2 linked regions of the Oryctolagus cuniculus genome follow. The protein of the gene in region 1 interacts with the protein of each later gene in a pairwise test. Links are inferred from orthologs where the notes say so. Each region holds a gene or a part of one and is shown in the gene's direction. Other genes may lie near its edges. The genes, in order: RAB3IP and PLOD3.

The links.
Region 2: the proteins of RAB3IP (region 1) and PLOD3 interact in binary tests that used the Homo sapiens proteins (3 or more experiments, as listed by UniProt). The link is inferred for Oryctolagus cuniculus from reciprocal best matches to the Homo sapiens genes RAB3IP and PLOD3.

Annotation. Positions count from the first base shown.
Region 1 is NC_091442.1:72,314,781-72,319,058, forward strand, and holds the start of RAB3IP (rab-3A-interacting protein), read left to right. Parts: upstream 1-1,382; 5' UTR 1,383-1,523; intron 1,524-2,171; exon of another isoform or gene 2,172-2,310; intron 2,311-2,438; 5' UTR 2,439-2,607; coding exon 2,608-2,639; intron 2,640-4,278. UniProt on the Homo sapiens protein: Guanine nucleotide exchange factor (GEF) which may activate RAB8A and RAB8B. Promotes the exchange of GDP to GTP, converting inactive GDP-bound Rab proteins into their active GTP-bound form.
Region 2 is NC_091450.1:43,400,066-43,403,526, reverse strand, and holds the end of PLOD3 (multifunctional procollagen lysine hydroxylase and glycosyltransferase LH3), read left to right. Parts: coding exon 1-10; intron 11-148; coding exon 149-290; intron 291-382; coding exon 383-496; intron 497-594; coding exon 595-663; intron 664-919; coding exon 920-1,024; intron 1,025-1,425; coding exon 1,426-1,572; intron 1,573-1,883; coding exon 1,884-2,009; intron 2,010-2,357; coding exon 2,358-2,513; 3' UTR 2,514-2,804; downstream 2,805-3,461. UniProt on the Homo sapiens protein: Multifunctional enzyme that catalyzes a series of essential post-translational modifications on Lys residues in procollagen. Plays a redundant role in catalyzing the formation of hydroxylysine residues in -Xaa-Lys-Gly- sequences in collagens.

The DNA of each region.
Region 1 (4,278 bases):
CTCCTTTTTTGGTTGCGAACCTTTGTTGCCAGCTGTCTCTGCTTTCTTGTATGTATGCTTGCTCCATGTGGCTGCTGGCCTGCTATCTGCCTGGTGTGGACCCAACTTAGCTTCTAGACCTCTCTCGCTCTCTCCTAATTAAAGCCCTCACTTTCCTGTGCATTCCTCTCACTGAATAAAAACGCTTAAAAACGTAAAAAAAAAAAAAAAAGAAAAGGAAGGAAGAATTACAGAGAGGCAGAGGCACAGAGAGAGAGAGAGAGAGAAGGAGAGAGGGATCTTCCATCTGCTGGTTCACTCACCAAATGGCCCCAATATCCGAAGCTGGGCCGATTTGACTACCAGCCAGGAGCTTCTTCTGCGTCTCCCACGTGGGTGCAGAGGCTCATGGACTTGGGCCATCTTCTACTGCTCTCCCAGGCCATAGCAGGGAGATGGAATGGAAGTAGATCAGCTGGGACTTGAACCATCACCCATATGGGATGCCGGCACTGCAGGCTGCAGCTTTTACCCAGTATCCACAGCGCCAGCCCCAGAAAATTTGGGTTATTAAGGATTAGCTTGCTCAAGGCCAGCCCCACAGTTAGGCCAGAAGTTCTGATTCCAATAGCCACAAACCTACTTTTTACTGCCTCTAGTAGATCTGATCAGTATACCGAATCTTTTACTAGCCATAGCCACATAATGGCGATTGTCTTTTTTTTTTTTTTTTTTTTTTAATCAGACTTTCAGGAGCTCGGTTCTGTCAGTATTTTCACTTCTCCTACCTGGAGAACTTAAAATGTGTATGTGGGGGGTGGAGGGGGCGGAGAGCGAAGTTTGATAACAATAGGTGACACAAAAGAGAGGAGAAGGCAGGTACAGAAAGGACATTCTGGAATGCTCTGGCAATGGCTCGAACGCAGCGGTCTAAGTTCTATCAGTCTTTCCCTCCCAGTCCCCGCCATGCACACGCACACACGCGGTAAGGTTCATGTGGACGCCGTCTCGGGTTGATTCTAGCAGTCCACAGCTCGCCGCCACCGTGCCTCTTCCGACGTCGGGTGAAACCAACGCCGGGGAAGCTACCTGGAGGCCTCGCGCCGGCGGAGGGCAACACGGCATGGCGCCGTCGCGTCCGTTCCCACGGAAACCGCCCGCAGAAGCACCTGGGGCCCCAGCGGTGCGAGCGGTGGCACCTGCCGCGAGCCCCGCCCGGCGCCAGGGGGCGCGGAAACGCGTCGGCTCCTCCCGCCCCACACCGGCCGCGCCCCGCCCCGGAGGCCCCGCCCCCGGAGGCCCCGCCCCGAGCCCCGCCTTCCCTCCGCGGGCGCCGGCCGCTCCCGGCTCCGGGCCCCGCTCCTGGCGCAGGCGCAGTCCCGCGCTCCCTCGGCGGCTCCCCGGCGCAGTGCGCTCGCCGCCGCCGAGTGTAGCGGCTTCGGCCCGCCGTCCTCCTCTGCTTCTGGCCGTTTTGGAGGCGCGCGCTCTCTTGCCTCTCTGCGAGCTGCCCTGAGTGCGGGCACTGGCCGCTGTGGATTCGTCAGGTGAGTGCGGCCGCGAAGAGTGGGAGGCCTGGGGCGTGGAGCACCGCCCCCCTCGCGCCTGCCCGCCTCCCGCGAGCCGGCCGGGAGGGACGTCTGTGGCAGGTGCAGGTGCCATCGAGGCGCGGGCCCGGCGGGCTGCCCGCCTGGGCACTCGGGCTCCCAGACCCGCGGCGGCTGCGAGTGGTGGGGGCCTCGGCGCCCCGGGTCAGCCGGGCGCCCCCGGGCCGCTGGTGGGCGGCGGGCGGCGGCTCCTCCTTGTCCCCCGGGCACGGGCGCGTTACTTATTAACTGCGCGGTCCCGAGCGCCGGAGACGGGCAGCTCGGAGCTTGGTTACCTGTGTGCGAGCGAGCGCGGCCGGGCCCCGGGCCCCGGGGGTCGCGGAGTGGGGTGAACAGACTTCCCGAACAAGTGGGAAGCCCGGGGCAGCTCCGAGGCCGCGCGGGCGCCGTGGACCGGGACCTGGGTCACGCCCGCTTCTCAGGCGCCCTGCGAGGCGTAGAGGTCACCCCCGGAGGTTTCGGCGAAACCTGGTGGGAGAGAGCGAGCCGGGAGCCTCCTACCCCAGGGAGGCACTCGGCTCTGCCCGGCTTTCGCAGGCGCTGGGTGCAGTTGGGACACGCTGCACCGACTGGTCATAATGACACTGCCCTGCCGGCCTTAGCAGCTCTCCTTGGCGCCCCGGGAAAAGCCAGCGAGGTGGCTGTGGAAGGGATGATGCTGGATGCAATCCGCAGCACGTGGAGAGCTGCCAGTTAGGAGAGTTGCAATAATAATACTATCTGCCTGGTAAGATGCTGGAAAATCAGAGAGCCGAGTTGAACAGAGGCAGCTCCTGCGAGGCTGTTTAGTTTCCTGGCAGTGTTACTCGTTCCAAGGCTATCTGTTATACACTGTTTTCCCCCTGACTCTTTCAGTGTGGGGAAAGAGCCCTGGGAGCCAGCCCTGGAATGATTGCATAATTGGAGAGCCCGGTAAGAGGATTACAACGAAACTCCGCTGTTGTGAATCTATTGAAAGACCCGCTTTCTCTCCATTATCCTTATTCTTCTCTGGCTCGTGCAGTTTTAACGAAAATAATGGTGAATGACACATCAAGGAGAAAAGAGGCAGAATAGGTTTGTATACTCGTCACAGTAAATATTTGATACTGTTAAATATTTCACCAGTTTTATGAGGTCTTGTTCTGTTAATGTTATTTATTTACTAGTACTGTGCATTTTGATAGGACTTCTCAGGTTTAGACAGTCACTGTATTCCAAATATGGTTGATGTGATCTGATCCTAAAGCCTTTGTGGAATTTCTGTGAATAAACTTCACAGTTAAATAATTTTACGACAGTGGTGTATTTCTTACTATTAGAAGAAAAGCCTGCGAATGTTTTCTGTTGTAATGGTGTTATATATTAACGCATGCTTTCGTGACCCGCAGTGTCTAAGGTAACTCTTCCTCGTGGGTTTGGCACACAACTGAACACCTGTAACTTTTCACCAGGATGGGTACTTGATGTGCATTTGCTTTTAATTAGTGAGATTTTTGATTAGATCCAGTTGTGCTTTCTGAATTCATGTGGTTATATGCTTCTTTAATCTCTGCTAAAAGGTCTATTTATTTATTTTGAAAGTTTCAGAGACGGAGAGACAGACAAGAAGGATCTTGCATATGCTGATTTCACTCCCTGGATGGCCTCAATGACCAGCACTGGGCCAGGCCCAAACAAGGAGCCAGGAGCTTCATCCAGGCCTCCCACGTGGGTGGCAGGGGCCCATATACTTGGACCATCTTCCCCTGGTTTCTCCAGGCCGTTAGCAGGGAGCTGGGCTGGAAGTGGAGCAGCCGGGACTGGAACCAGCACCCATGTGGGATGCTGGTGTCCTGGGTGGCAGCTTAACCCACTGCACCACAGCGTCACCCCTTGTTCGTTAGTATTCTTTACCTCTGATTTTCCCTCAACTCTCCACTTGTCCTTCCCTGCCCAACCCCTGACACAGGCTCTACAAATAATTGTTAAAATGGAATAGGTCTTAGAAATCTAGGCCACCCCGTCCTTTTTTAATAAGGCAGAAAAAACTTACAGGTGCAGTGGTTTCCATTGATTGTGGTGATTAGCATACATTGTTTGCCCCCTCCCAGGCGGGACTCACTCAACGAATGAGTGAGCTGGCCAAAGGAAGAATGATTTAACTTTCTGCTCCATCACTTACTAAGCCTATGACTTTGAGGGAAGCATTTAACCTCTCTGAACTTGTTTTCTACATTATGGAAATGCTGTCAGACCACAGCAAGTGCGGTTGCCAGCACTCTGCCGGTTTTCGTGTTTCAGCCTAGTAAGAACTTTTTTTTTTTTTTTTAAAGGCAGAGTGGACAGTGAGAGACAGAAAGGTCTTCCTTTTCCGTTGGTTCACCCCCCAATGGCCGCTGCGGCCGGCGCACCACGCTGATCCGATGCCAGGAGCTAGGTGCTTCTCCCGGTCTCCCTTGCAGGTGCAGGGCCCAAGGACCTGGGCCATCCTCCACTGCACTCCCGGGCCACAGCAGAGAGCTGGCCTGGAAGAGGAGCAACCGGGACAGAATCTGGCGCCCCGACTGGGACTAGAACCCAGTGTGCCAGCGCCGCAGGTGGAGGATTAGCCTACTGAGCCGCGGCGCCGGCCAGTAGGAACTTCTTAATGGTGGGAGGAGGATTGCATGAAATGTTCCCCGTGAGATGTGGGCGAGCCTGTTTTAGGTACCTTGACTCATTAGTCTTTCAGGAC
Region 2 (3,461 bases), on another chromosome or scaffold:
GGAAGCGAGTGTGAGTGTCGCCTGCTCCCAGGCGCTCCTGCCACACTGGGGGTGGGGAGATGCCTCGTGACCCCCGCAGTCCCCGACAGGGGGCGTGAGTGTCCTGAGGGCAAGAATCGGGCGCTGACTCCAGCGTCCGGGCCTCCAGGGGCGTGTGGAATGTGCCCTACATAGCCCAGGCCTACGTGATCCGCGGGGAGACCCTGCGGACCGAGCTGCCCCAGAGAGAGGTGTTCTCGAGCAGCGACACCGACCCGGACATGGCCTTCTGTAAGAGCCTGCGTGACCAGGTGAGGGCTGGCGGGCGGGTGCCGGGGGCCGGCCGCCCGCTGCCGTGGCCAGCGCCCTTCTCACGCGTGCTCGCCGCCCCGCCCCCACCCAGGGCATCTTCCTGCACCTCAGCAACCGGCATGAGTTTGGCCGCCTCCTGGCCACGTCCCGCTACGACACGGACCACCTGCACCCCGACCTGTGGCAGATCTTCGACAACCCTGTGGTGAGTGGGGGCCGGCAGCCGAGGAGGCGGCGGGGGCTGCCTGGGCCGCATCTCAGGGTCCCCCCCATCCTCTGTGTCACCCCATCCTGCCCCCCCAGGACTGGAAGGAGCAGTACATCCACGAGAACTATAGCAGGGCCCTGGAAGGGGACGGGATGGTGGAGCAGGTGAGTCCTGTGGCAGCAGTCGAGCCGACGGGGCTCCAGCCCGCGCGACCTCCTCTGTGTCCGGGGCGTAGCGATCGGTTTATGGGTGAAACTAGGATGTCAAAAAGAGGTGCCTGTTGTGGAGGGGTGGGAACCTGGGGCTCCCGGACCCGCAGGCCGCCCTGCTCTGCCCCAGCCTCTCCTCCCTCTCCCCCTCTGCCTTTGCTCTGTGAGCACCCACCCCAGCGCTGCTCCTCCTTTCCCCGCCCCACCCCAGCCGTGCCCGGATGTCTACTGGTTCCCGCTGCTGTCAGAGCAGATGTGTGACGAGCTGGTGGAAGAGATGGAGCACTACGGCCAGTGGTCAGGAGGCCGGCATGAGGTGAGGGTCCAGGCCTCCCGGGAGGAGGGGACGCTGAGACCGGGGGCGATGGAATGGATGGGGGGGACACACGGGGAAGTGAGCCCCAGGCAGTACGCCTGCATCGAGGAAACGTCACTGGGCCGTTGGCCAGGACGTGCAGGTGCAGCGAGGCGCCAGGCAGGGCAGGCTCTGCCCTCCTGTCCCGAGCAGCAGCTGCCCAGCTTCCAGAGGCTGGGACGGGCAGCCCTTGTCCCTGCCTGGGGGGACAGGAGGGCTTCATGGGAGCTGTGAAATCAGGAAGTAGGGAAGGAGTGCTCCAGGCACGGAGAGCAAGCGTGTGAAGACTTGGGAGCATGGGGGAGGGGGCCTGGCCCGGGCGGGGCGCGGAGGGGCCCCGGCTCAGCGTCCACTGCCCCCAGGATTCAAGGCTGGCCGGAGGCTACGAGAATGTGCCCACCGTGGACATCCACATGAAGCAGGTGGGCTACGAGGACCAGTGGCTGCAGCTGCTGAGGACCTACGTGGGCCCCATGACCGAGAGCCTGTTTCCGGGCTACCACACCAAGGTAGGCCGCTGCGGCTGCCCTCACCGCCCCTGCCACCGCCACCTCTGCCCCAGCCTGCCAGTGGCCACCCAGAGCCCCATCAGCTCCCGTGTCTAAGGTTCTGTGGAATCCAGGTCCCAGGAATGAGACGGGGAGCGGGGACAGGGACCGGGCCAGAAGTAGGCAGGCCGAGACCCGGGGTGCATCGTGGCTTAGCCGCGGCGCCAGTTAGCAGTGAGACCTTGGGGGTCTCGAGGTGTGTGTGTGTGTGGGGGGGTGCTGTGCTCTCCCCAGCAGCCCCTCCCCCCATCCTCTGCTCTCTGCACCTGCAGGCCCGGGCGGTGATGAACTTCGTGGTTCGCTATCGGCCGGACGAGCAGCCCTCTCTGCGGCCACATCACGACTCCTCCACCTTCACCCTCAACGTGGCCCTTAACCACAAGGGCCTGGACTATGAGGTGAGCCCCTCCCCCGTCAGCACACACCCACGTGCATGCCCTGGGGCGGGGGGACCCTTACCCAGGGCTCCTGCCACCTCCCCACCCCGTGCCTTCCTCCCACGTGCACGCCCGGGACAGGGGGACCCTTACCCAGGGCTCCTGCCACCCCCACCCCGTGCCTTCCTCCCCATGTGCATGCCCTATGCCCTGGTGGGGGGGACCCTTACCTGGAGCTCCTGCCACCCCCACCCCGTGCCTTCCTGCCCCCTTCCCGCAGATGCCCCCCCCCCCCCGTGTGGCACCACCCCCACAGCTCAGGTGTGTGCTCAGCCCCCTCGCCTGCTCCTTTCTCACTCCCCCCACCAGGGTGGCGGCTGCCGCTTCCTGCGCTACGACTGCGTGATCTCGGCCCCGCGGAAGGGCTGGGGGCTCCTGCACCCCGGCCGCCTCACCCACTACCACGAGGGGCTGCCCACCACTCGGGGCACCCGCTATATCATGGTGTCCTTTGTCGACCCCTGACACGCAACCACTGTGCCAAACCTTCACTGCCATGGTGCCTTCTCAGGGGAGCCCCAGCCGCAGCCCCAGCCGCCGGAAAGGGGCGGCCGCCGGTCTCCCCGCGTCCTGAATGTGTGCTGAGCGTGCCTGGGACTGATCGTGTCGTGCACCTCCCCCGCCCCCACCCTGCCCAGACACAGCCCCCTCCCTAGAGCCCGCAAGGGCTCCTGGGGAAAGGGTCTCCTGGGGGTGCCCTGGGTGATAAATTATTGAGACTGTTCCCTCCCACTAAAGGAGGATTTGTAACTCTGAGTCCGTGGGTTGTCTGTCATCCCCCCTTGTCTGGTCCTGTTCCTGCCCGCCACCCTGTCCCCTGCCCAGCACTGCGGGCAGAGCGCGGGAAAGGCTGTACCTGCCGGTTCAGGTGGAGGCCCCAGCCCCACGCAGGCCCCTGACCTCCCCAAGGATGGGTGCAGGAGCCAAGGACGGCACTGGCACAGGAGCTGCCCCCTGGACACGCACGTGCTCTGGACCTAAACTTGAACCTGGGCATGACCAGGGAACGGGATTCCCTGCAGGGTCATCATTGGAGAGCTTCCTGGCAGAGGGGGCTGTGAGAGGAGGAGAGACCTGAGAGCAGGGCTCCTTCCAGCCTCTGGGAGACCCCCAAGCCCTTGCGGCTCCCTGGGGGCTGCCCCTGGATCTCCTCTCTGTTCCCTGCTAGAGGCCTTGACGCCACCTGGCCCAGGGCGTTTTGTTGGTTCCGGACCCTTCCCCCTCCCCAGCTGGAGCCCCCTGGCAGGAGGGCGGTGCTGATGGCCCGCTGGGGTTATCCTCCTTTGTGGACGGCCCGTCCTCTCGCCCTGTGCTCCACTGCCTTCAGACCAGGCCCTGTGTTTGGCCATGGACTGAGCAGGGACAGGAGAACACTGCTCGTGGCAAGGCCTCTGGACAGGGACAGAAACTGTG